Oryctolagus cuniculus: one gene and its partners. The protein of the gene in region 1 interacts with the protein of each later gene in a biochemical or structural test. Links are inferred from orthologs where the notes say so. Each region holds a gene or a part of one and is shown in the gene's direction. Other genes may lie near its edges. The genes, in order: PPARG, CDK5, RELA, GRIP1, KAT5, NR0B1 and TRIM24.

Evidence for each region.
Region 2: of the proteins of PPARG (region 1) and CDK5, one has a biochemical effect on the other in vitro, tested with the Homo sapiens proteins (3 studies listed by BioGRID, with this or other methods). The link is inferred for Oryctolagus cuniculus from reciprocal best matches to the Homo sapiens genes PPARG and CDK5.
Region 3: the proteins of PPARG (region 1) and RELA form a complex in vitro, tested with the Homo sapiens proteins (3 studies listed by BioGRID, with this or other methods). The link is inferred for Oryctolagus cuniculus from reciprocal best matches to the Homo sapiens genes PPARG and RELA.
Region 4: the proteins of PPARG (region 1) and GRIP1 form a complex in vitro, tested with the Homo sapiens proteins (2 studies listed by BioGRID). The link is inferred for Oryctolagus cuniculus from reciprocal best matches to the Homo sapiens genes PPARG and GRIP1.
Region 5: the proteins of PPARG (region 1) and KAT5 form a complex in vitro, tested with the Homo sapiens proteins (2 studies listed by BioGRID, with this or other methods). The link is inferred for Oryctolagus cuniculus from reciprocal best matches to the Homo sapiens genes PPARG and KAT5.
Region 6: the proteins of PPARG (region 1) and NR0B1 form a complex in vitro, tested with the Homo sapiens proteins (2 studies listed by BioGRID, with this or other methods). The link is inferred for Oryctolagus cuniculus from reciprocal best matches to the Homo sapiens genes PPARG and NR0B1.
Region 7: the proteins of PPARG (region 1) and TRIM24 interact in a test that uses a peptide from one of them, tested with the Homo sapiens proteins (2 studies listed by BioGRID). The link is inferred for Oryctolagus cuniculus from reciprocal best matches to the Homo sapiens genes PPARG and TRIM24.

What each region holds. Positions count from the first base shown.
Region 1 is NC_091441.1:114,828,119-114,831,618, reverse strand, and holds part of PPARG (peroxisome proliferator-activated receptor gamma), read left to right. Parts: intron 1-260; coding exon 261-711; intron 712-3,500. UniProt on the Homo sapiens protein: Nuclear receptor that binds peroxisome proliferators such as hypolipidemic drugs and fatty acids.
Region 2 is NC_091438.1:22,759,315-22,763,251, forward strand, and holds the start of CDK5 (cyclin-dependent kinase 5), read left to right. Parts: upstream 1-1,137; 5' UTR 1,138-1,254; coding exon 1,255-1,291; intron 1,292-1,896; coding exon 1,897-1,985; intron 1,986-2,071; coding exon 2,072-2,139; intron 2,140-2,247; coding exon 2,248-2,308; intron 2,309-2,412; coding exon 2,413-2,469; intron 2,470-3,118; coding exon 3,119-3,214; intron 3,215-3,309; coding exon 3,310-3,384; intron 3,385-3,554; coding exon 3,555-3,651; intron 3,652-3,822; coding exon 3,823-3,892; intron 3,893-3,937. UniProt on the Homo sapiens protein: Proline-directed serine/threonine-protein kinase essential for neuronal cell cycle arrest and differentiation and may be involved in apoptotic cell death in neuronal diseases by triggering abortive cell cycle re-entry. Interacts with D1 and D3-type G1 cyclins.
Region 3 is NC_091432.1:6,038,492-6,042,435, forward strand, and holds the start of RELA (transcription factor p65), read left to right. Parts: upstream 1-1,144; 5' UTR 1,145-1,276; coding exon 1,277-1,283; intron 1,284-1,831; coding exon 1,832-1,858; intron 1,859-1,949; coding exon 1,950-2,101; intron 2,102-2,190; coding exon 2,191-2,339; intron 2,340-2,836; coding exon 2,837-2,928; intron 2,929-3,290; coding exon 3,291-3,422; intron 3,423-3,944. UniProt on the Homo sapiens protein: NF-kappa-B is a pleiotropic transcription factor present in almost all cell types and is the endpoint of a series of signal transduction events that are initiated by a vast array of stimuli related to many biological processes such as inflammation, immunity, differentiation, cell growth, tumorigenesis and apoptosis.
Region 4 is NC_091442.1:68,865,628-68,869,693, reverse strand, and holds the start of GRIP1 (glutamate receptor-interacting protein 1), read left to right. Parts: upstream 1-1,266; 5' UTR 1,267-1,907; coding exon 1,908-2,160; intron 2,161-4,066. UniProt on the Homo sapiens protein: May play a role as a localized scaffold for the assembly of a multiprotein signaling complex and as mediator of the trafficking of its binding partners at specific subcellular location in neurons.
Region 5 is NC_091432.1:6,003,904-6,008,083, reverse strand, and holds the start of KAT5 (histone acetyltransferase KAT5), read left to right. Parts: upstream 1-1,380; 5' UTR 1,381-1,622; coding exon 1,623-1,634; coding exon of another isoform or gene 1,635-1,733; coding exon 1,734-1,800; intron 1,801-2,112; coding exon 2,113-2,181; intron 2,182-2,276; coding exon 2,277-2,413; intron 2,414-2,676; coding exon 2,677-2,832; intron 2,833-2,918; coding exon 2,919-2,993; intron 2,994-3,094; coding exon 3,095-3,169; intron 3,170-3,321; coding exon 3,322-3,570; intron 3,571-3,767; coding exon 3,768-3,857; intron 3,858-4,180. UniProt on the Homo sapiens protein: Catalytic subunit of the NuA4 histone acetyltransferase complex, a multiprotein complex involved in transcriptional activation of select genes principally by acetylation of nucleosomal histones H2A and H4.
Region 6 is NC_091453.1:16,770,244-16,772,937, reverse strand, and holds the end of NR0B1 (nuclear receptor subfamily 0 group B member 1), read left to right. Parts: intron 1-1,633; coding exon 1,634-1,878; 3' UTR 1,879-2,194; downstream 2,195-2,694. UniProt on the Homo sapiens protein: Nuclear receptor that lacks a DNA-binding domain and acts as a corepressor that inhibits the transcriptional activity of other nuclear receptors through heterodimeric interactions.
Region 7 is NC_091434.1:185,289,937-185,293,436, reverse strand, and holds part of TRIM24 (transcription intermediary factor 1-alpha), read left to right. Parts: intron 1-349; coding exon 350-678; intron 679-3,500. UniProt on the Homo sapiens protein: Transcriptional coactivator that interacts with numerous nuclear receptors and coactivators and modulates the transcription of target genes.

The sequences.
Region 1 (3,500 bases):
TTTTCGCCAGTCATAGGTAAAAGTTGCAGTATTAATTAAAGGATAAGAAGATCAAAATCGGTGGAATGTCCTCGGGCCTAGGACGTGATCACGATGACTAGTAAGACAGTAAGCGTCCTTCCTCATGGCTAACGGTCTTCAGCTTCAAAGATTTTGCCGAGCTAAGCAGAAGTGTCTAGAGCCACTTTCTGAACTGGGATGGCACTCGCTGGGAGTTAAGGATGTCTGACTCAGCCACCTTTCCCCTTTTTTATTTGCAGCCGTTTGTGATCTATGACATGAATTCCTTAATGATGGGAGAAGATAAAATCAAGTTCAAACACATCACCCCCCTGCAGGAGCAGAGCAAAGAAGTCGCCATCCGCATCTTTCAGGGCTGCCAGTTCCGCTCCGTGGAGGCCGTGCAGGAGATCACAGAGTATGCCAAAAACATCCCTGGCTTTGTGAGCCTTGACTTGAACGACCAGGTGACTCTGCTCAAGTACGGCGTCCATGAGATCATCTACACCATGCTGGCCTCCTTGATGAATAAAGACGGGGTCCTCATATCGGAGGGACAAGGCTTCATGACGAGGGAGTTCCTAAAGAGTCTGCGAAAGCCCTTTGGTGACTTTATGGAGCCCAAGTTTGAATTTGCTGTGAAGTTCAATGCACTGGAGTTAGATGACAGTGACTTGGCAATATTCATAGCCGTCATCATTCTCAGTGGAGGTAAGATCCATCTTTTAATTTTCCGTGAAAGAGTGTGGGACGACTAGAAGTGCTGTATTTCCTGTGATAGTCCATGTTCCTTTTTACCCTGTTCTTAACAGCATTTCTCATATAAAAAGAGCTAGTTCTTTTAGGAGAACTTGGGCTGTCTTTTTATCCCTCACGGTATTTTTTCTGGTCAGACCCAATCATAGAAGACGAATGCCCACTTCTCCTTTTTCTTTCTTCTTTTTTCTTACCTTCCCTCCCAGAAGGCCAGTGCGATCTTCAGTTCATTTGAGTAATGACATGTGTGACTTTACCTAATGATGGTGCTCACTTGGCATAGACAGGTATTGATAAAGGTTTATTTGCTTTTTAAGGTTTATTTATTTATTTATGTGATAGGCAGAGCGATAGAGAGGGGAGGATGGAAGACCTCTGCTGGTTCACTCCCCACATGGTTGCAACAGCCAGGTGTAGGCCAGGCCGAAGCCGGGAACCAGAAACTCCATGTGGGTGGGAGAGGCCACACCCCTGGGCATCTCCTGCTGTTTCCCAGGGATATTAGCAGTAGAGAATGCGAAGCGGAGCAGCGGGAACTTGAACAAGCACTCTGATGTGGGACACTGGCGTCATAAGCATGAACACCGGTCTCGCTATATTTTTAACCCAATTATGCTCCTGCCCCAGTTATGTTACTTTGAGTCACTTTCCTGATACCAGGAATCAAGGAATTCACCAGTATGTCTGTCTATGGTCCTGTATGCTCATGTGGATTCCTCCGCAGGCTTCCCTCAAAGTACCTTTGTTACGTAGTTGGCTGAGGTTAAGAATACAATCTGGACCAAAAAACACAGAGCAGAGAAAAGTTGAGTTATTTAGCCATGGTGGTATAGTCTTGGCCTTGCCAATACATGATCTAATCAGCCAGTCCTCGAAGCCAGCCTTCAAACTAAGTGTTATTTTCATTAGCCTCCCATGTTTTCAAGTTGAATAGAAGAAATTTTACTTTCATCTCTCTACTTAAAAACTGTTTTTAAACAAGCAGGTCCAGCTAAGGTTTTCCTGCGTACTCTGCCATGTTCTCTGTGGTCTTATAGATGTCAGTGTGTGTCACTGTGCTATGTATCATAAAGGGATAATCCTCTCTGTAGTCCTTTGTTGTCCAGTTGAGAACTGGATGCTTCTGAAATCAGGGACATACTGTACTCGCAGTAATAACCGCATGTGCTGATGGAGTTCTTGCTGTAGGGCAGGCCGTGTTCGGAGCGCTTCACACACATTCGCTTATCCCCGAAACAACCCAGGCAGGAAACCAAAGCACTGAAATGTTCACTCCCTTGCCCAGGGTTGCACAGTGAGCCAGATGTGGAGCCAGGCTTATGATCTGCCTGGTTCTCTGTGCTTAACTAAACACTGTGCACAATACCACCCTTTGAATGTCTAGGGTACAGATAGGCAACCGTTTGACAGACATTAAATCTGAAGCCTCAAGTCCAGTTTCAAGTCATGACTTACTAAGTGAAGGGACATTTTGACATTATGATTAATAAGGCAAAAATATCCCTTCCATCATGTTTTAATGTCTTGAGTGAATCACTTCATAAGCAAATTAACTCTTGACCCTTTGGGATCTTTGATTAATTCATTGGGAGTTGAGGTTCAGTTGAAGTTCATTGAGAGATAAATATCAAATTTGATTCAGAGAATACAAAAAAGCAAAGGTCTCTGTCCTCTGAATAAAATGGAACAAAGTCCTAGTTCTCCTCTAAAAATGTTTCTATATATTACCTGTGTACAGTTGTGTAAATATAGACACATAATGTTTTCTAAAATACCATTCTTAATGACTGTAAAATATTCCAGCCTACAAAGGGACCACTACAGACTAAATTATCTCCCTATACATGTTAGGGTTACTTAGAATAAAAACTACAGGGAAGAATACAGAATGCTGTTGAAAATTTGTTCTAAATTTTGCTGTAGTGAACCTTCTTATGTGTAAATTTCTATTCACACTTCAGATCATTTTCTCTTTCTAAGTTACCAAAGGTTGCTGGCTATGAACATTACTTTCTCAATCTTTATCCTATTTTAAAAATTATTTACTTATTTGAGAGACAGAGAGGGAAACAGACATACAGAGAGAAAGAGACCGAACAAGAGAGAGTGCTCCCACCTGCTGGTTCATCCCCCAAAGGCCCCAGCAGCCAGGCTGAATCCCAGGCAGGAACTCAGTCTGGTCTCTCCTGAGGGTGGCAGGAACCCAGCCACTGGTGCCACCACAGCTGCTCTCCGGGGTGCACAGTAGCAGGAAGCTGCAGTCAGGAGCCAGAGTCAGGAGTCCAGCCCAGGTGGACTCCTGCCATGTGGGCCCCGATGCTCCGGCTTACGCCCTTTGTCATCTCATCGCCCAGCTGCATAAGGTTTGTGGCAGTTTCTATTCCCAGCACAGAAGCCAAGAGCAGCCCTGAAATCAGCCGTTCCAAGATGCTTATTTTCTACGTGGGGAAGGTCTAGAGAAGACACAGTCGTTATAACTCTGGGCTCTGTGAACCTCAGCAACATCGTAGAAAAGAATAGCATTACTGTTCCTGACTTCATTTCTGACAAGCTAGATTGTTTGAAAATTGGTGACTCATTAGTCCTTTCAAAAATTCCTTAGTTGGGCTGGCGCCTCGGCTCACTAGGCTAATCCGCCACCTTGCAGCGCCGGCACACCGGGTTCTAGTCCCGGTCGGGGCGCCGGATTCTGTCCCAGTTGCCTCCCTTCTAGGCCAGCTCTCTGCTGTGACCCGGGAGTGCAG
Region 2 (3,937 bases), on another chromosome or scaffold:
GACCTAGGACCGGTCACTTTCAGGGACACAAACGCCTCGCGGCGGCCCCCTCCTCGTCCTTGCTACCTCCCACCCTGAATCGAGTCCTGTTCTTTTAAAGAACTTGTGTGCCATCTTGTTTTCTCAATTAAAAATGCGTTTAGGTAAGGATTATATACTTTTTTGTTTTTTTAGTCTGCCACGTGGGTGAAGCACAGCATTGTGTATGCGAAAGCATTCTGATATAAAGGAATTAATCCACAAATTGTCAGCACCAGTTCTGGTTCCTGGCTGCGGAGTGCTATTTGGGGCTGTTTTCGTCCAGTTCACAGCCCGGAAGAATGCAATCATGAGACAATTAGAGAGCAGCACAGGAAAATCTATAATCAACTGCCGTAAGGGATGAGGTAAAGGCTGCTGTAAGTGTAGCATCTGTCTGTGGTCTTGTCTGTAGAGGGGGTAACCAACCTGTCAGCCCTCGTGGGCCACACCCTTACTGCCTCCAGTGGGCTCTGCTCGGAAGACTGGGATCTGGGGGGACTCCCAGGGCTCCAGCCGGCTCGCCTCATCATGGGCTCCGAGACGACAGATGAGGTCCAGCAGAGGGAGAAGTCACCCTTCCAATCCAGCCAGAAATGGCAAACACCTGCCTCTACCCAGCCCTGGGGTCAGCTGGTCCCTGTGAGGTCATCGTTCCTATTCCCCAATCAACCTTGAGGTCACTGGGAGGCCTGGGGCGAGGTGGAAACCCGCGCTGAGGTCGCTCGGAACTCATCATCACCAACCAGGTCAGAGCTGAGCCACTAGGTCCCGGATCTGGGCCGCCAGACCTCAACCCGAGGGCGCCCTACCCCCACCCCGCCGCATTCTGGAACGCGTAGTCCCAGAGCGACCCTTTTCAAGAAGGCACACAGAAAAGGAGTAACAAGAGCGGGGCACACTGGGAACCGTGGCGTCACGGTGGGGACGCCCAAGGAGCGGACGCGTGATGCTTTCTGGGACTTGGAGTCCAGGGTTTGCCTCCGCGGTCGAACCGGAGTCCCGGGAGTCGAGTGCTGCAGAGGACCTTAGCGCAGCCTGCTGGGGGCTGTAGTCCTCTTGCCCGAGTCTCCGGACACCGCTGGGAAACCTGGCCGTCCTAGGACTACAAGCCCCAGAAGGCCATGCGCAGACAGGAGGCGGGGCGGGGCCGGAGGCTGGGGTGCCGCCTCCTCTGCAACGCCGGGGCCGGAGTCTTAGAACCCAGGGCCCGCAGGGGTCCCCGCGGCTGCCGTGATGCAGAAATACGAGAAGCTGGAGAAGATTGGGGAAGGTAATAGAACCACGAGATGTTCCTGCAAGATCTTCTTCTGCAGACCCTTCGGGATTCCTTGCAGCCTAGGCTCTCCCGTAGTCTGCGGTACCTGCAGGCTCCGACCTCAGCACTGGCTTGCAGCCCTGGCCCCCAAGCTCAGCACTCCGTGCAGACACCAGCCCTGCCCGTGTTAGCATTCTCCGCGGACTCCCACTCCCAACGTTAGCCTCCCTGTGGAGCCGACCTCCCAGCCGCGGCACGTCCTGCGTTTCCCACGCCTAGCTTCAGCACCACTTGCACATCCTCACCCGGACCCCAGCAGATCTTCAGCCTTGACATTTCTGCAGGCCCTCAGTTCTCTCCCAGAGTCCTGCTATGGCCAGACCTCCCGGAGTGCCGCCCTTATTAGCGCTGTCCTTACCCTGGCCTCCGGCTCAGACCCTGGAGCCTCAACCTTTAGGCCTTCCCTACCCTGCAGCGTCCTCACTTACAAAGCTCTTGCAAGCCTGCCCCTCACCCTGAAGCCTTTCCCTTACACACTCAAGTGCCCTTCCCCCTCCCCATTTCCTGGGGATGGGGAGGGTGCCGCATCCTCCCCCTCATCTATGACCTCCTCCCCTTAGGCACTTACGGAACAGTGTTCAAGGCCAAAAACCGAGAGACTCACGAAATCGTGGCTCTGAAACGCGTGAGGCTGGATGACGATGACGAGGTAGGACCGGGGACACCAGGGCAGGGAGTGGCAGATGAGGAGGCCTGGGGTGAGTGGGATCTGACTGCTGCTCCCTCGCTGTGCAGGGTGTGCCGAGTTCAGCCCTCCGGGAGATCTGCCTGCTTAAGGAGCTGAAGCACAAGAACATTGTCAGGTGTGGAGGGGGCAGGGGGCCCTGCAGGTGGAGGAGGAGGGGGCTTCAGCCTGGTTGGGGTGGTGCAGACGTGCAGACCTGCCTGGCTCAGCCCTTGCTTCTCCGTAGGCTTCACGATGTCCTGCATAGTGACAAGAAGCTGACTTTGGTTTTTGAGTTCTGTGACCAGGTGAAAGGGGATGGGGGTGGGCTGAAAGGGAGCAGGCTTGGGAGGGTGTGGGGCCCAGACGGAGGTTCACCTCTGTCCTGTTCCCCCGCTGCATCCCTTGACAGGACCTCAAGAAGTATTTTGACAGCTGCAATGGTGACCTCGATCCTGAGATTGTGAAGGTGAGGGGAAGGGTGTTCTGGGGGCTCTTCGGGGCTGGGGTTCCGGTCTGTATGCAGTGTCAGCTCTCCTGTTTAGGCACAAATCAGGGACTTTCTGGGGGGGGGGTGTCAGAGAAAGAGCAAACCTGCTCCTGCCCTCCAGGGGCCTCCGGGCTTAGCCAGCATTTCCACATGGCCTCCTTGGACCTGTATAGTGACACTCTGAGGCCAACGGCTATTTCCACCCAAAGAGCTACACTCATTTAATCAACAAACATTTGCTGAGAGTACTAGGCCCGAGACCAAGTGCCTTGGCCCAGGTTCCAGGGGAGTCAGGTCCTGAACCATCCCAGAGCACAATATCCATGTTGATGGTGACAGACTGTACACTCAGGTCCAGCCAGGTAGGGGAGAGAGGCATGGGCTGGGAAGGCAGAAGGCCTATCGGGCTATAAGGTCTGGAAGGGCAGGGAGCAGAGCCACTTGTTTCCTGCTGTACGGGCTGCAAAGCCAACCCTCGGCAGTGAGTGCATATAGTGTTGTCCTGAGCTTGGTGCTGGGGATTGGGTAGGACATGGAACAAAGCTGAGGGTGAGGCAGGGAGCATGCCCATGGCTGGCATCACCTCGTAGCCAGGGTGTCTGACTCTGTCCCCTCTGCCCCTCTCTAGTCATTCCTCTTCCAGCTGCTGAAAGGCCTGGGATTCTGTCACAGCCGCAACGTGCTGCACAGAGACCTAAAGCCCCAGAACCTGCTCATAAACAGGGTACTGCTCAGGGGAGAAGGGGAGGGCAGGGGGCAGGAGCCTGCCCTGAGACGTTTAACAGCCCCGTGCCGTGCCTCCCTCCCGTCTCCCCCCAGAATGGGGAACTGAAATTGGCCGATTTCGGCTTGGCTCGAGCCTTTGGGATTCCTGTCCGCTGTTACTCAGCTGAGGTGAGCTGGGGGGTGGGATTTGGAGTTGAGGGGAGCAGTCCCTGGTGTTTTTCAGCTCCTGCTCCATGACCAACCCGAGACAGTGCCCTCTCTTCTCTGAGCTCCCCTCTCCACCCTCCGTCCCAGCCCTCTAAACGGGAGGGCGTCCCTGTGGGTGGGGTCTTCTCCAGGTGGTCACGCTGTGGTACCGCCCACCGGATGTCCTCTTTGGGGCCAAGCTGTACTCCACGTCCATCGACATGTGGTCAGCCGGCTGCATCTTCGCAGGTGACGTGCTGGGGCGGCTCTGCTCTTTCTCCCCAATCTGGGTTGACAAACAGGGTCTGGAGGGTGCCCTCTCGGGGAAGGGAGTAGGGCCCTCGGGTCCGGGAATGGCAGGTGCAGGGGTGCCTCGGAGTGAGGAGTGCGCGGTGCGTCACGGCTGTGCCCCTCTCACAGAGCTGGCCAATGCCGGCCGGCCCCTCTTCCCTGGCAACGATGTGGATGACCAGCTGAAGAGGATCTTCCGATATCCTTTCGCTGCCCCCAGGGCCCTGAGCCCTGGGCCCGCTGG
Region 3 (3,944 bases), on another chromosome or scaffold:
CTAAGGCAGACCCTGGCGGGCAGCCGGGGCAGCAGCCAAGACTCGGGGTCCCTGCCGCTCGGGCGGCGCCCGTCTGAGACCCCCGCCCGAGACCCCCGCCCCTGGCCTCAGCTGGCGCAGCTCCCCGGCTGCTGGCCGGCGTCTGGGCCGTGATGCAGGGGCGGGAGGCCGCTCTGCCTTTCAAGGAAATAAAACGCTGATTATTCGGAGTGGACGGCGCACGCGCAGCCCCCGCGGCCGGGAAGCGGACTGCGCCGGAGACACCGGCGGGTGGGCGGGGTGCTCGCTCTCTTTCACTTTTCTCTTCCTGTTTTTTCAGAGCCTGGGAAAGCAAGTCAGAATTTCCAATCTTTTCCAATTCCCACATGGTTTCCTAATTTAGTGCGAGTTCGGAGAAGATACACACACACACAAAGTCTCCCCCGCACCCCGCTTTGGGGAAGCCGCGCGCAGCCTCACCCCAGGAGAGGGTCTGTGCCAGCCCCAGGCCCGCCCCCCGCCCGCAGGGCCGCGGCGGGAGGCCCCGGGCACTCTCGCGGGGGGCGGGACCCTGCGGGTTCGGGCGGCCCCTGGGGGTCCCGGGCGTGGGCAGGCGAGCGCGCCAGGGTGCAGAGAGGAGGCTGCGGGGCCGATCCGGGCGCCTCCCGCACTCGTCTCCGATGGGCCGCCCGCGGGCCGGGGCTGGCGCGGCCGAGGGCCCGGCTCGCCCGCTGCGGGCAGTGGCCGGCGGGGACGTCGGGCGCGCCCCGCACCCCGCGCGCCCCCCGCGCCGAGACGCGTGCGGGGTGAAGCCGCCGGCTCTCCGCGCGCGGGGCGGGCGGCCGCCGCCCAGCCGCTCTGGCCGCGCTCCAGCCCGGCCCGGGTGACATCACCAAGCTCCTCCGACCCGCGGGAGGGGGCCCCCGAAATCCCCTAAAAACAAAGTGAGTAATCGGCAGGCCCGCCCTCCAGGCGGGGCTGGGACGCGGGGGCGAGCGGAGCCGCCCCGGGAGCCGCCTCCGGGCGGGCGGGCGGGTGAGCGTCGGTGTCCGGAGCGGCCGGCGTCTGCCCCCGGCCCCCGCGGGCTCGCCCCGGCGCGGCGCGCACCTGCCCGGACCCCCGCGCGGGGCGGCGGCGGCGGCGGCGGCACAGGCACAGCGCGCAGGCGCGGCCGGGTTCCGGGCAGTGACGCGGCGACGGGCGCGCGCGGCGCATTTCCGCCTCTGGCGAATGGCTCCCCTGTAGCGCGCGCCGCGGGCCCAGCTGCGACCCCGGCCCCGCCCCCGGGACCCCGGCCATGGACGGTGAGGGCGCCCCGGGAGCCGGCGGGGAGGCCGCGCCGGGGCCGCGGGGGCTGTGGCGGGACCCCCGGGCCGCCTTCCGCCGCTTCCTGCGCCGCGGGCGCTGCTGCGCCAGGGAGCGGTCCGGCCGGCCGGTGGCGCGGGGCGGGGCGGGCGGCGGGGGTCTGACTCAGTTTCCCCTCCGCGTGGAGGGGGCCTTGACCGGGGGCCCTCCCGGGGTGGGGGTGCGGGGTGAGCTTTGAGGCGAGTCCGTCGCATGGCCTCTGGGGCAGCCCTGATGGAGTTGTTATGGGAGAGGGTGTGAGTCAGTTTCCTCTCGGGTGGGGGCTGGGGGGTGGGGGGCGCCCTCCCACAGCTCCTCCGAGGACAGTGGGCCGGGCCCTGACTCGGGTTCCCTCAGCACAGCCGGGGGTCCAGACCCCGTTTGCCCTTAGGAAACAGGTGTTTCTGGCTCCTGTACCCCCCACGGAGCAGGTCCTGACTCAGTTTCCCTGGGGCGGGGGGTGGAGGGGACCTGGGCTTGTGCTGACCCTTACCTCCTCCCCTTTCAGACCTGTTCCCCCTCATCTTCCCCTCGGGTAAGTGGGCCGGCCCTGCTCGGTGGCGGGGAGGGGCTCCGGGGGCTGGGGGGCTGGGGGCAGCCCCTGATGGGACCCCCGGCCCCCGCAGAGCCAGCCCAGGCCTCGGGCCCCTTCGTGGAGATCATCGAGCAGCCCAAGCAGCGGGGCATGCGCTTCCGCTACAAGTGCGAGGGCCGCTCGGCGGGCAGCATCCCCGGCGAGCGGAGCACGGACACCACCAAGACCCACCCCACCATCAAGGTCAGTCCTGCTCCCCCTGTGGCGGGCCGGGCGCGGGGGAGGGGCCGCCGAGCCGGCCCTGCCCCCAGCACGCGCTGTACTTTGCACAGATCAATGGCTACACGGGACCCGGGACGGTGCGCATCTCCCTGGTCACCAAGGACCCCCCTCACCGGCCTCACCCGCACGAGCTGGTCGGCAAAGACTGCCGGGACGGCTTCTACGAGGCCGAGCTCTGCCCGGACCGCTGCATCCACAGGTGAGCGCCCGGGGCCGCGCTGGGCGGACTGCTCTCTCCTGCGCTCCTCCTTTCTGGGAGTGGGACTCCTGGGGGACGGGCTGGGGCCCTGACCCTGTGGCTGCCAGCGAACCTGCGGTTCCCCCGAGCGCGCACCCGCGGACAGGCTGTAGGTCGTGCAGATAAACGGTGCACGTGGTGTCAGCCGTGACTTCCAGGCTGGGAGAGAGCCCGGCCGAGGGAGGGGTGCTGGTCTCGTGGCCTGGGGGCGGGAGGCCCGGGGTGGCCTCTGTCAGCTAGGCCTTGAATGGTGAGGCTGATCGGAGAAGCCCGGAAGCATCCCGGGGCGAAGGGAGAGGTGCCGAGGTCAGGGCCTGAGGGCGGGAGGCCGTCGACAGGAGCGGTGGTGTTGCAGCGCAGGGGAGCCGCTGCAGCCGCTGCAGCCAGGACCGGGGCGGATGGGGAGGTGCAGACGGGGCACCGCGGGAGGGTCCGCGCTCTGACGGGGAGGGGCTCAGCTTCCAGAACCTGGGGATCCAGTGTGTGAAGAAGCGCGACCTGGAGCAGGCCATCAGTCAGCGCATCCAGACGAACAACAACCCCTTCCAAGGTGAGGCCCCCCAGCTGCCCGCCCCGCCCCCGCCCCCGCCCCCAGCTGCCCGCCCCGCCCCCAGCCTCCGCCCCCGCCCCCAGCCTCCGCCCCAGCCCCAGGCCTCCGCCCCCGCCCCCAGCCCCCGTCCCCCCCAGCTGCCGCCCCGCCCCCCCAGCCTCCGCCCCCACCCGGCCCCCACCCCAGGCCTCCTGGCCAAGACGCCGCAGCCGGACACCACGTCCCGGCAGGGGACAGGACTGCGGGGTCCCAGTGCAGGCCTTTGTCCGGCGCTGTGGCACCCTTCGCCAGCCCCCAGGCCAGAGCGGCCGGCCCTCCCCGCCCCGTGTGACACCTGCCCGTCCGCCCGTCCGTTGTGACAGTGCCCATAGAAGAGCAGCGTGGGGACTACGACCTGAACGCCGTGAGGCTCTGCTTCCAGGTGACAGTGCGGGACCCAGCAGGCAGGCCCCTACGCCTGCAGCCTGTCCTCTCCCATCCCATCTTTGACAACCGTGAGTGGCTCGGGGGTCACGGGCAGGGGCCGGGGTGGGCCTGGGCGGCAGGAAGGCTGGTGGGCTGGGCTGCGGCGAGCTTCTGCCCGTCGTCCGGCATCCGTGTGTCATCTCCCGTGCCCAGCCCTGCTGGCTGCAGACAGGCAGGGACAGACCCAGAGCCGTCCTTGCTCTAGAGGGTGTGGCTTCGGGGCTGGCGGGGGTCTGATAGGAAGTGGGCGTTTTCCGGATCACGTGGCGAGAGAGTGGCATGCCCCCACCTACACCACGGACTGTGGGAAGTGGACATTACGAGAGCGAGGTGTCCTGGGCGGTGACGATTCCCTGATGACAGCCCGGGAAGCTTGCAGAGGGACTGGGCGGCATCATCAGTTGCAGTTTTTAATTAAATAATGAGCAGGATGAATAAAAATAGAGCAGCGCGGGAACCCTGGGGGCAGGAAGCAGGGTCAGGAGGGACGGGCGCGTGGCCAAGGTGGGTACGATGGGGCCCGGGAGACTGCCCGGGTCAGCGTGGCTCGC
Region 4 (4,066 bases), on another chromosome or scaffold:
CTGTCTTTCATCTGTGATAGTAACCAATTCATACTGTTAGATACAGAGAGGGAAGAAAGATGATTGTGATCCTGAATTACTAAGAAGGTATTTATCATCGTAGCTGCAAGAACATATGATGTCAGTTTAGCTCGTCTCAATCTAATTAATATCTTTTTATCCTTCTTTTCCTAGTTGGCCTTTTTTCTCTTTATTCCCTCCTCTATCACATCCTTTAGACAAAAGTTCTTCATCAAAGGTTCATACAAAGGTGGACATGTATGAGTCTCAGGAGTCCTAGAATTCATTGTATCTACCAGCCAAATTGCATTTTTGTGGGAAGATGAATCCTGATTTTCTCCTGATTCTCAAAGGTTTCTGTGTAACTCCATTACATTGGAAAGACCAAGAAATATCCCATGGATGGAAAATATAGGTATTATGAGGTCACATAATATAACATTCTGAAAACACAGTGTATCCACTCGAATATCAAAGAACTGAAAAAGTGAGTACTTACTCTTTACAGTTATGTAAATATTGTTATCAAATGACTGGCACCCCCTCCACACACAAATAGCAATAGAAACTTAAGGCATTTTAGAGAAGGTAAAGACTAGAGAACTTGGGCACCCAACTTCATTGCTGGCATGTTAACTGTGGTAAGCAGTTAGGGAACAGATGATATGGGCTGTTCCAGCACACAAGACAGTGGTCAGTTTGGACCAATGGATAGTTTAAGTTCAAGCTTGAGAACCTCTTGAGGTTCAACGATGGCTGCTGCTTAACTACTCTACTACTTTGGACAAGTTACTTAATCTTCATGTATCATTATTTTCTCATCTGGAAATTGAGGGTGCTAATAGTAACAACCTTTTTTTTTTTTTTTTTTTTTTTTTTTTTTTTTTTTAATTTTTTTGACAGGCAGAGTGGACAGTGAGAGAGAGAGACAGAGAGAAAGGTCTTCCTTTGCCGTTGGTTCACCCTCCAATGGCCGCCGCAGTCGGCGCGCTGAGGCCAGCGCACCGCGCTGATCTGATGGCAGGAGCCAGGAGCCAGGTGCTTCTCCTGGTCTCCCATGGGGTGCAGGGCCCAAGCACCTGGGCCATCCTCCACTGCACTCCCTGGCCACAGCAGAGGGCTGGCCTGGAAGAGGGGCAACTGGGACAGAATCCGGCGCCCCGACCGGGACTAGAACCTGGTGTGCCGGCGCCGCTAGGCGGAGGATTAGCCTAGTGAGCCGCGGCGCCAGCCTAGTAACAACCTTTTATAATCTGGGGGAAGACTCAGTAATTGATGTAAGGTGGTAATGAAAAGATCTCCTTTATTAAACTCTTAGGGCAAAGCCAGAATGTAGGAAGATCAGAGGACCCCTCCTCCTTGTCAGCATTAATTTCCTGTTCCCTGGTTTCTATTTGCCATCACTCTTGTGCCAGGGCCAATTATTGTTCTCCTCTTGTTTTCATTTATGATTTTCTCTGTCTGACCAGTGGGAAGGAGACAGGTGCAAAAATGAAAATGAAAATGATTCTGAAGGCTTGCTTTGTTTTAATGTAGCAAATAAAAATACCCCAAGATTCCAGAACTACTCATTCAATTGCATAAAACCAAAAATAAACATAAGCAACATCTCTTTTATTTTCCACCTAGTAAGGCTCATATACTGAGTTCTCTAATACAGTTTATACGTGCAGCCATGTCCATGAAACTTACTGTCAATCAACATTGTTGAATGCCCAGTATACATAAAGCATTAAGGGGGATAGAGTAGTTTCACTTATAAAAAGTAGCTATATGTGATGAAAGACTAGCAAGGATGCCAAGAGTATTGTCCTCTAGTTCTATTTAACTGAAATCTTGTATACCTTTCTTTGTGTTTAGAGTTTTTTGAAAGATGCAAGGACATTGCTGCCCATTTTGAGAAAGCCATGGCAAAGTCAGTTAAGAAACACCAGTTTAGCTCTTCTGAACCTTATCTTCCAGCAACTTTAATCCTGAACAGCATCTCCTTTAATACTGATGGTTCCATCCAATATAAAGGAAAGTCATTTTTCTCTGCCTCCGAAGCCCTAGCTGCTTACATTGATGATTTTCACTTAAGCTGTGAACCTTCTGATATTAATGATACAAAGGTTAACCAGGATCAGAGCCCTCTTGAATTTCTTGCTAAGTCAAACAGTGGTAAGCTTTCATCATTCTGAGTTCAATGTTTAATTATGTATAGAAAGCTGTTGTCTTAAGAGGTATATGTCCTAAAAGATATGTTTTCTTAGAAAATAGTTGTCTAGTAGTTCATGAATCTCTTTATAAGGTTGTTATAAAATCTTATGTTTCTAAAATTTTTTCAGCAATGGATTCTTTTGAACAGAGAAATTACAGAATTAATTTTAAAATACAAGTTGCTGCAGTAATTTCAGAGAGGCAAACTCCAGATTTGGAGTCTAAAGCTCTGGTTTCTGGGTTTGAAAATGTTAAAAAAAAGTCATGTAAATTCTGCAAGCCAAAGATACCCCTTTGTAAAATAATAATGATGATCACTTCACATGGTCATTGTTGGAACTAGATGAATGTGAAAACATTCTGTAAATTGTTGCAGACGTAGGGTTCTTGGGTTCTTTGGAGCACAATTAAATAACAATGTGATAGAGATCTGGTGACTGACATGGTCTGGATCCGACTTTGCTAATGACAGGGTATAAGAAGAGTCTCTCTGGGCTTTGGTTTTCTTGTCAATAAGATGAGGATATTGAATTTATGAGTTCCATAATTTTAAAATTACATATTATGTAGGTGACAGAAAAATAAAATTGGGCCACACCAATATTTTAGTATTTCTCATTTTAAGAATATCATTTGTAAAAGCTGAAACAAGTTTATCATGAAACCAAAACTGGATGAATCAGAAATACTAACACCAACAATAAAAATGCCTACTCTTTTGTTAGACATAGTTTTAAGACCATATGTTAGTGTCCATAAGAGAATATTAGGAAACTACAAATGTACAGTGATATTTACTGATTGATGTCAGACTATAATAACAACTTAGCATATTACTGTATGCCATACTTGATATATGCAGAGTAAGAAGAGGTGTAACAGCTTCCTGTTTATTAAATGAAAAAAAAAACATAGAGCTAAATGAGGACTCACAAAGTAACATAGTTGTACACAAGAGAAAAATCATGCTTCTTTATGCTAACTCGTCTGGTTTGACTGTTGAACACTATTTGACAAGTGGGGAGGCATGATACAGGGACTGAGCATGAAAGTGTGGTTTAAGTGCCCATGATGTCTATGCAACTGAAGGACAGGCAGCATTGTAATACTGTCAGTATTACAATGACAAGGATTTTGTTGTTTTTTTATTTTGTTGAGGTTTGATAGTAGAGTTTTTCATTTTGTATGTTTTTTATGTTTATTTAACAAATTCAATGTGCTTTGTAGATACAATTCCAAAACATAATATTATTCCCTTTCTTCCTCCCTCCCATATCTCCCTCCCACCTTCTTCCTTTTTTAAAAAGTTTTTGAGATAGCATATTTTAAAATTACATTACAGTTAAAAAGATTAATACTTCACCAAATAAGAAGTTTAATAAGTACAAAGCAAAAAGGCCCTAGGTGAGTGGGAATATAGATGATGGCTGTAAGCAATAATTGAATGAAAAAATGACCATTTCACCCATACACAGTAAAATAATCACAGATCATTAAAACTAGAGTTTTTGATTTTTGATTTTTCTTGAATCCACAAACAAGAGGCCAGATAAAGGCAGTTGCTTTTTCCCCATATCCTCTGGAGCTATTAACTCCACAATCAGTGGTATTCTTGACAATTACTCATAAAGGTAAATAGAGTTCCCAATTTTTTCATTATAAACATATTATGTTACAAACTATGCAACAGATAAAGGGTTGATAACCAGAATCTATAAAGAAATCAAGAAACTCCACAACATCAAAACAACCCACTTAAGAGATGGGCCAAGGACCTCAATAGACATTTTTCAAAAGAGGAAATCCAAATGGCCAACAGACACTTGAAAAAATGTTCAAGATCACTAGCAATCAGGGAAATGTAAAT
Region 5 (4,180 bases), on another chromosome or scaffold:
GGCCCAGCGCTGGCCATTGTGGCCAATTAAGGAGTGAACCAGCGGATGGAAGACTCTCTCTCTGCCTCTGTAACCTTCAAATAAATAAATCTTTAAAAACATCCTTTATGGGCAATGAAATTTAAACTTCAAACAACTTCTCCTGTTAAGAAATACTGTTTTGTCCCCCCAACCGCTTTAACACATCAACAGCACGGGTGCTGGTCAAGGGCGCAGTCCAGACACCATGCTCGGCCCCAGCCCCCGCAGCCAGGGGGCCCCAAGGCCCAGCCGCGCTGTCAGCGCCGCGCGTCCCCATGGGAGCCGCTGCCCCTGCTTCCCGGCCTGCCCGGCGGAGTTCCAACAGGACCTGCTCGCGAACACGTGGCCCTCCCTCGTCTCCAGACCTCTTCCTCTCTCTCTTCCTTCTTAGCAGCTTCACAAAGACCAAGGCGGGGTGTAGTAAAACGGCGCCGTCTTCCTAAGCCCAGCCCGGCTCAGCCGAGCGCGGGCTTCCCAAGGCCCAGCCGCAGGGTCAGCTCCAGCCCACGCTGAGGGGCCTGGCCGGCCACGTCCTCCCTCCGCACGGCCCCGGAGGACCCGTTCGCCACAGGCCGCTGCTCTGCGCGCCAGGGCCCCCCCCACAGTAACCCTGCCCCTCACTCCGGCGTCTGGTGTTCTGTGGGGGCCCACGGGCCGCGGGACACGCCAGGCCCACACCCGTCTGCCTGTCCACCAGACACGGGCCAGCGCGTGCAGCGCGGCGCGGCTGCCCCCGCGGGACGGCCTGTGCGTCTGGAACTTTCTCTGGGTCCCTTCAAGCCTTCTTTCCAATAGTTAAGCTTTCAGCCAGCGCTGCCCGGCTACTCCAGCCCGACCGCCCGCGCCTGACCACCCTGCTCGGGTTTTCGGGGTTCCCCAACACTTAGCCCTGAAACAGAGGCAACCGCGGCCATTAACCCTCCCCTCCCCGCAACTTCCAGGAACGCGAGCTCCGCCAGGGGAGGGGTCTGTCCGCTCGCCCCCACGCGCTCCAGGGCCGGCAGTGGAGCCCGGCACACGGCGGGAACTCACCGCACGTCTACAGGCCGCAAAAATAACGCACACACCGGTTCTCAACCAGGAACTCGGGGTACGAGGTTAGACACCCGCGCCCCCGCGCCTCGAACTCGGCCCCGCAGCCGTCCCGCTACTCCCGCCCACTTGTCCAACTTGGCCACGCCCACCGCCCGCCCTCAGGCCCGCCCCGCGCCCAGCACGCGCACCCGGCGCCGGGCGACGCCTCCCGCCGCCACTAGGAGACTCCCGAACGCGGCCGCCCGTCCGAGCCCAAACACTAGTCCCACGTGACCCGCGCCGCAGCCACGTGACCGGCGTCGCACCCGGTGGGCGTCACGTGACGGACTCAGTTTTCCTCCAATCGCGGCGCACGTTGTGGAGGTTCCACCCAAGACCTGGCCCGAGGCTCCGAGCACCCCATTTTCGCGCCGGCCAAAAGGGCTAGCTCCCCGCTTCCAGCCGGGCGGCGGTGTCCCTCAAGGGTCCTTTACTAAACAGGCTCAGAGGGCCCGGGTCTGCAGCGTTCGCGATCCCGGAAGTGACGTCTCCCAGAGGGGCCGGAAGTGGCAGTAGAGGGAGGGAAGATGGCGGAGGTGGTGAGTCCGGTGCCCGGGGCGGGGCGGAGGGAACCAGGGGAGGTGGGTAGAGCCCGCGGCCCCACAGTAGCCGACCCTGGCGCCGCGCTGTCTCCCCAGGGGGAGATAATCGAGGGCTGCCGCCTACCTGTGCTGCGGCGGAACCAGGACAACGAAGATGAGTGGCGTGAGTGACGTCGGGGGGCGGGGCTAAGAAATACGAGGCGGGAGGGAGTCAGCCGAATGGGGCGGGGCTTCTAGAATGCTGGTGCGGGCGGGGCGCTGGCGCTCCAAAGGAGGGGCGTGGCTTCTAGCCGTTCCGACCTGGACAGGGCGGGGCCTGGAGAGTGGGTTGCACTTGGTGTCTGAAGGGGGCTTGGGCGCGAGCTGCGCAGTGCTGGGGCGCGGGGATCCGGCCGAGGGGTGGGGCTCGGGTCCTAGGAGGGTGGCGTCTCGGGGCCCTGCCCGTCTAAGGCCTCTGCCTGTGCCGTTCCCATAGCCCTGGCCGAGATCCTGAGCGTGAAGGACATTAGTGGCCGGAAGCTCTTCTACGTCCATTACATTGACTGTGAGTCCTGGGCCTGGCTGAGGTGGGGCTGCGGGGCGGGCGCGGGGCGGGGGCAGCCTCTGGCATTCCGTCCTGAGCCATGCCCACCGCTGCAGTCAACAAACGCCTGGATGAATGGGTGACCCACGAGCGGCTGGACCTAAAGAAAATCCAGTTCCCCAAGAAAGAGGCCAAGACCCCGACCAAGAACGGACTGCCTGGGTCCCGCCCCGGATCTCCCGAGAGAGAGGTGGTGAGTAGGGCCCCACTCCACCTCTCCTGCCTCCTACTCTTCTCGTCTCTCGGCCTTAGGGGGCTCCTGGCTGGGCAGGAGGCAGCACCCCCCGCCCCGACTCCAGCTTGCAAAGCATGGGGCCAGGTTGCAGATGTAGCTTCCGGTCCAGTGGCCAGTCCTTGAGAAGGCAGCGGGCGGGGCTCAGTCACTCCACGCCGAGGGGGCCCCTCGTCCCCTGCGCCTCCCCACCCCAGAGGAAGACCCTGGACCTATCTCTGCAGCCGGCCTCCGCCCAGGCCAGCGGGAAGACCTTGCCAATCCCGGTCCAGATCACGCTCCGCTTCAACCTGCCCAAGGAGCGGGAGGCCATTCCCGGTGGTGAGCCCGACCCGCCGCTGTCCTCCAGCTCCTGCCTGCAGCCCGGCCACCGCTCCACGGTACCCTCAGCACTTCAGGGACCTTCTTTCCTCTCAGGTCCCCCTTCCCTACCTTCTCACCCACCGGCCTCGGTTTCCCTCTGCAGAAACGGAAGGTGGAGGTGGTGTCGCCAGCGACTCCCGTGCCCAGCGAGACGGCCCCGGCCTCCGTGTTCCCCCAGGTAGGCCCGAGCCGTCTCGTCTCACTGCCCTGCCTGCCCTGCCCCCGCCGGCGTCTCCGGCTCAGCTCACAGCCCCCCGCATTCCCGCCGTCTCTTCACAGAATGGGTCAGCCCGTAGGGCGGTGGCAGCGCAGCCAGGGCGGAAGCGGAAGTCAAACTGCTTGGGCACGGACGAGGTGGGTCTGGGGGCTGGGTGGGGAGGGGCCGTGAGGCGGGTGGGCGGGGGCTGGGCCTGGTCTCTGAGAAGTGGGGTCACAGCAGCTGCCCCGGGGTCGCAGACGGGCGGCGCGTGGCTCCTGTAACGTGCCGTCTCCCCCGGCCCCGGCAGGACTCCCAGGACAGCTCCGATGGCATCCCGTCGGCTCCGCGCATGACTGGCAGCCTGGTGTCCGACCGGAGCCACGACGACATCGTCACTCGGATGAAGAACATCGAGTGCATCGAGCTGGGCCGGCACCGCCTCAAGCCGTGGTACTTCTCCCCGTACCCGCAGGAGCTCACCGCGCTGCCGGTCCTCTACCTGTGCGAGTTCTGCCTCAAGTACGGCCGCAGCCTCAAGTGCCTGCAGCGCCACCTGGTAGGCGGAGCCCAGGAGCGCCCGCCCTGCGCCCCAGAGTCCAGGAGCACCCGCCCCGCCCCCCAAAGTCCAGGAGCGCCCGCCCCTGCGCCCCCCAGAGTCCAGGAGCACCCGCCCCGCCCCCCAGAGTCCAGGAGCGCCCCCGCGCCCCCCCGGAGTCCAGGAGCGCCCGCCCCTGACCCTCCTCTCCTCCTCAGACCAAGTGCGACCTACGCCACCCCCCTGGCAACGAGATCTACCGCAAGGGCACCATCTCCTTCTTCGAGATCGACGGGCGCAAGAACAAGGTCAGTGGCCGCGGGCAGCGGGCGGCTGCTGCTTGCTCGGGGGCACACTGGCCTGCCCAGCCGGCAGCTTGTTCAGCCCGTGGTGTTAAGAAAGGTTTGTTTATTTGAAAAGCAAAGTTAGAGCGTGGCATCCGCTGGTTCACGCCCCAAATGACCACGAGGCCGGGGCTGGGCCAGGAGCCTGGGGCTCCATCCGGGTCCCCGCACGGGTGCAGGGGCCCGAGCGCTTGAACCATCTTGCGCTGCTTTCCCGGGCCACAGCAGGGAGCTGGGGTGGAAGCAGAGCAGCCGGGTGTTGCAGGAGACGGCTTAACCCGCCGTGC
Region 6 (2,694 bases), on another chromosome or scaffold:
AATTCTATTCCTACAAACTCTCTGGGTTTAAACATAAAGATAAGGAGAATTAGGAAACTGTGGAGCCCACCTGCCATTTCTATTTCTTTACTTTAAAGGTAAGACTCTTTTGCAGAAAAAGCCGCAATTTTGGAGGGTGTGGGCATGGATGGGTGTGGTGTGATAGCAGAGAAAAGTAACGTGGAGGTCACAGATGAAGTTTTCATGAACCATGACTCTGGACCTGGAGGAACTTTGAGTTTCTGGTGGAGTTTCATGCAAGCCTCTTCCTTTCATCAGTGGGATTCAAACAATATAATTGAGTTTCAAGCCTGGATGTTGAGCTGTAGGTAGTAGGAGACATTAATGTGTGGACTGGGTAATCTGATTAGGGTATAGGTTAGACGTGCTGCATTATTTTGCTCTTATTTTATTGATCAGATATTTGCCTGTTAGAAGAGTGCCTCATATCTGTCACCATTAGTTTTTAGAGATCACTGATTGGTTCTGCTACTCTGTGATGATTAGCATAATACTTATAAAATATTATTCTGTTGAACTTTGTAGAAAAAGGGAAGGGAAGTGATTGCAATCATAATTGGCATTATTTAATCCTAATGATAAACTATTACTTACTTGAATACAAATTAAAGAACTTTGGAACGATATTACTGTCATGGAGAATCATAGGGCTTTTAAAAACAGACTCCTCTTACCACCTTCTGTACAAGGATTAATATATATAATACAATATAATAAAATAGTATATTAATATATATCCTTCTTTCCAGGGTTGCATTTTCATTCACTTTACTTAAGTATCCACTTGACTGAAAAGAGGTCATGCATTGTCTATTAAAAAAGTTCTGTTTGAACTGTGTTGTGGTCCGTGATATTCTAGTATTTACTTTTAACCCTCTCAAGACTGGAGGAGAATTATTTCTAAAATCTTTTATTTATATATATATATATATTTAAAAAGCCTTTTGGAACACTCATTAGAAGCACCTCCCCTTTTTATAAGCCCCCCAATACAGAAACCATGATACAATGAACTAAATAGCCAGCATTAGTTTTTAAATTATTTTGGGCCTCTAGATTAATATTGATCTGCAGCAAATAATACAGTGAAACCCAGGAGTCACAGTTTGTGGCCGGGGAGTTTACCACTATTGGTTGAATAATCAGTATCATGGTGGGAAATTTGTGGACGGATGGTAAAATATTTGCAGATGGCAAAACTTATTGTACAGTGGACTGTTTTCCATGGTATAAAGCCCAGTGCTCTCCTCCTGAGATAGCATTATTTTTTTTCATATTTGTATAAAAAGTGAGCTGGCACAATGATTCATTAAAGTATACTCGACTGTCAAATTAGGCGTGCACTTGTTGGCTCACAGCCAGCATTTTTAAATGTGTGTATACAAGCATTGTGGATATTTAATAAGGAAAATCACCTTAATGTTTCATTCTTGGAAGTGTTGTTTCTGGAAACTTACAACTGGTTTGGTATTTTATCTGTGCTCTCAAAAACCCTTGAATCAGGAATCTTGAGCTTTTGTTTAATTGGGAAGAGGCAGAAAGGATAGATTTAAAAATCTAGCAAAGGATTTGTGATGAGCCATTTCTAACAAGGAGATTTTTCTCCCTCCAGACCTGCCAGGCCTGCAGTGCGTGAAGTACATTCAGGGACTTCAGTGGGGAACTCAGCAGATACTCACTGAACACGTCAGGATGACGCACCGAGGGCACCAGGCCAGATTCGCTGAACTGAACAGTGCTCTTTTCCTGCTGAGATTCATCAATGCCAATGTCATTGCTGAACTGTTCTTCAGGCCCATCATTGGCACAGTCAGCATGGATGATATGATGCTGGAGATGCTTTGTGCGAAGTTATGAAGCCATTTAGCCCATACAAGCCAAGTTAACCGTGTAAGAGGTGTGGATAGAAGAATGTCAAATATTGTGAAATAAACTTTCTTATTATTTTTACATGCATAGTATTTTTGTATTCAATTAAAGAAATAGTTTAGTTATAGATGATTAACAAAGCCTCTGTTCTATGATGTTTCATTGTGAAGGAAAACGTTTGTCAACAAGTAACACACTTCTGTACATCTTTAAGAGAAGAGCAGGGTATTCCACTAGTCAGCTATTTCCAAAAGCTTAGTCACTGACTCCAATGTACCTGCTCAAATTGAATTTGTAATATTACATTTTAATAAATTTTAAGGTGTTAACCATTAACATGACTGAAAAGTTTCATTGGGGGCTTAACTAAGACTTCAAAACTTATTAAAACCTAGTCAACATAAGCAAAAAATACCTCTCTAAGTAACATGGCATTTGATGTTATGGCCTGCCAGTGTTGTTAGGAAAAGACTTTGCTCTGTCTTCATTTCCACACCTGTCAGTTACATGGAAGACTGTCTTTGTACCCAAAAGGAGACAAGAAGCAGTGTTGGTTGGAGAGCCTCATAAAAATGAAATATGAGAATTTTTAGTTTTCTTTTGGGATATTTCTATACACCATTATGGAACTGAAATCAAGTTTACGTTCTATAAGGAAGAGTTATAGTTCCAGAACTCAATATAATTATAAACCCCTAATTACCTTTCACCTTTTAGATGTGTTGTCTATGTGACTGTAACTTTGAACAAACATGGCAGAAAATCGTAAAGTGACTTCACTATGGGTTCCTGGTACCTCTTGCA
Region 7 (3,500 bases), on another chromosome or scaffold:
TTCTAGTCCCGGTTGGGGCGCCGGATTCTGTCCCGGTTGCCCCTCTTCCAGGCCAGCCCTCTGCTGTGGCCAGGGAGTGCAGTGGAGGATGGCCCAGGTACTTGGGCCCTGCACCCCATGGGAGACCAGGAGAAGCACCTGGCTCCTGGCTCCTGCCTTCGGATCAGCGCAGTGCGCTGGCCGCAGCGCGCCGGCCGCGGCGGCCATTGGAGGGTAAACCAACGGCAAAGGAAGACCTTTCTCTCTGTCTCTCTCTCTCACTGTCCACTCTGCCTGTCAAAAAAAAAAAAAAAAAAAAAAAACCAATTAAAGATCCATATGCACATACTGTTCCCTCTTCCTATTGCAGACCAGCTATCCAAGAAGCATACTCACTTCCCTGCTCTTACACAGCGGTCAGAGCTCTGCTTCCGAGGAGACTGTGCCGAGATCCGAAGCCCCTGACAGCACAGGAGATCAGCCTGGACTTCAGCAGGAAAGTTCCTCAAATGAGAAGTCTGATTGGCTGGATGCATCCCAGAAGTCCCCTCTTCATGTTGGAGAGACCAGGAAGGAAGATGATCCCAATGAGGACTGGTGCGCGGTTTGTCAGAACGGAGGGGAACTCTTATGCTGTGACAAGTGTCCCAAAGTATTCCATCTCTCTTGTCATGTGCCCACTCTGACAAATTTCCCAAGGTAAGCTATTATTCAACCTCAGTTAAATTTATCCTAAGGAATTTGATTTTTTTTTTTTTTTTTTTTTTTTTGGTAGCTATTGTGAATGGGATTGGTCTAAGAAGTTCTTTCTCAGCCGTGGCATTGTCTGTATATACAAAAGCTGTTGATTTTTGTGCATTGATTTTATGTCCTGCTACTTTACCAAACTCTTATGAGTTCCAAGTCTCTTGATGGAGTCTTTTGGATCCCTCTATATAGAATCATGTCATCTGCAAATAGGGATAGTTTGACTTCCTCTTCCCCAGTTTGTACCCCTTTGGTTTCTTTTTCTTGCCCAGTGGCTTTGACTAAAACTTTCAGGACTGTATTGAATAGCAGTGGTGAGAGTGGGCATCCTTGTCTGGTTCCAGATCTATGGGAATGCTTCCAACTTTCCCCCATTCAATAGTACACTGGCCATGGGGTTGTTATAAATTGCCATGATTGTGATGAGGAATATTCCTTCTATACTTGATTTGATTAAAGTTTTTATCATGAAAAGGTGCTTTTTTTCTGCATCTATTGAGATAAACATATGGTTTTTGTTCTTAAATTTGTTAATGTGATGTATTACATTGATTTGCAAATGTTGAACCATTCCTGTATACCAGGGATAAATCCCACTTGGTCCTAGTGAATGATCTTTCAGACCTGTTGTTGGATTTGATTGGCTAGAATTCTGTTGAGGATTTTTGTGTCTGTGTTCATCAGGAAAATCGGTCTATAGTTCTCCTCTGCTGTGTCATTTTCAGGCCTAGGTGATGCTGGTTTTGTAGAAGGTGTTCAGGAGGATTCTCTTCCTTTCAGTTGTTTTGAATATCTTGAGAAGAATTGGAGTTAGTTCTTTAAATATTTGGTAGAATTCAGCAATGAAACCGTCCAGTCCTGGGCTTTTCTATGTTGGGAGGGTCTTTATTACTGATTCATTTTAAGTCTTGGTTCTAGGTTTGTTTAGGTTTTCTATATTTTCATGGCTCAATTTAGATATGTTGCATGTTTCCTGGAATCTATCCATTTCTTCTAGTTTTCCCCATTTGTTGACATACAACTGTTTTTAGTAGTTTCTGATGATTTTTTTTTAAGGCAAAAAAATTTTTTTCCATTTTATTCATTTATTTGAGAGGTAGATTTATAGTGAAAGGGAGAAACAGAGAGAAAGGTCTTCCATCCACTGGTTCCTCAAGTGGCTACAACAGCTGGAGCTGTGCTAATCTGAAGCCAGGAGTTTCTTCTGGATCTCCCACACAAGTGCAGAGGCCTAGGTACTTGGGGCCATCATCTACTGCTTTCCCAGGCCATAGCAGAGAGCTGGATCAGAAGAGGAGCAGCCGGGACTAGAACCGGTATCTATATGGGATGCTGATGCCAGAGGGGGAGGGCTAACTTGTTGTGCCATGGCGCCAGCCCTGGAACCTATCCATTTCTTCTAGGTTTCCTCATTTTCTGGCATATAGCTCTTTCTAGTAATTCCTGATGATTCTTTTTATTTCTGTGGTGTCTGTTGTTAAATTTGTCATCTCTAATTTTATTGATTTGGGTCTTCACTTTTTTCACTTAGTTGGGCCAAAGGTGTCGTCAGTTTGGTTTATTTTTTCAGAAAACCAGCTCTTCGTTTTGCTGATCTTTTGTAGGTCTTTTTTTGTTTTGTTTTGATTGCTTTGCTGTTTTTGTTGGTCTATGAGGTACATTGATAACTCATTTATTTGGTGCCTTTCCAATATCTTGATGTAGGCATCAACTGTTATAAACTTTACTCTTAACACTGCTTCTGCTGTATCCCATATGTTTTGATATGTTGTGTTGTCGTCTTCATTTGTTTCCAGAAATTTTCTGACTTCTCTTTTGATTTCTTCTATGACCCAGTGTTCGTTCAGGAGCATGTTGTTCAGTCTCCATGTGTTTGCATTTGCTCTAGAGATTCCTGAGTTGTCTAATTTGCGCTACATTTCATTGTGGTCAGAGAAGGTGCATGGTAGGATTTCAGTTTTTTTGAATTTGCTGAGACTTGCTTCTTGGCCTGGCATGTGGTCAGTCCTAGAGAAAGTTCCGTGCACTGCTGAGAAGGTGGATTCTGCAGCTGTAGGATGGAACGTCCTGTGGGTGTCTGTGAGGTCCATTTGGTCTATGGTGTCGATGAACTCTGTTTCCTTGCTGACTTTCTGTCTGGTTGATCTGTCCATGGCTGAAGGTGGAGTAGTGAAGTCCCGATTACTGCTGTACGGGAGTCTGTGTCTCCTTTCATTCCATTAACATTTGTTTTAAATACCCAGGTGCTCTGTAATTAGGTGCGTATACATTTCTAATAGTGACATCTTCCTGTTGAATTGACCCCTTAATCGTAATATAGTGCCCTTCTTTGTTTCTTGTAACAGTATTTGTGTTAAACTATTTTGTCTTATATTTATGATGGCTACATCAGCTCTTTTTTGGTTTCTGTTACTATGGAATATCTTTTCCATCCTTTCATTTACAGTCTGTGACTATCTTTGTTGGTGATCTGTGTTTCTTGTAGGCAGCAAATAGAGGGTTTTTGTTTTTTAATCCATTCAGCCAGTCGGTATCTTTTTTAACTGGAGATTTGAAGCCATTCAAGGTGACTATTGATAACTAATGACTTTACCCTGCCAGTTTTTCAAAAAATATTCCTATTTTTCAGTTTTGATTTCCTTTGTACTTGCAGATTTGCTGCCTTCACTTTCTTTCATAGTGATGATCATTTTTCTGTGGGTAGCACATCCTTAGGCGTCTTTATTGAGGCTGGACTAGTGGTGACACATTCTTTCAATTTCTGGTTGTTATGG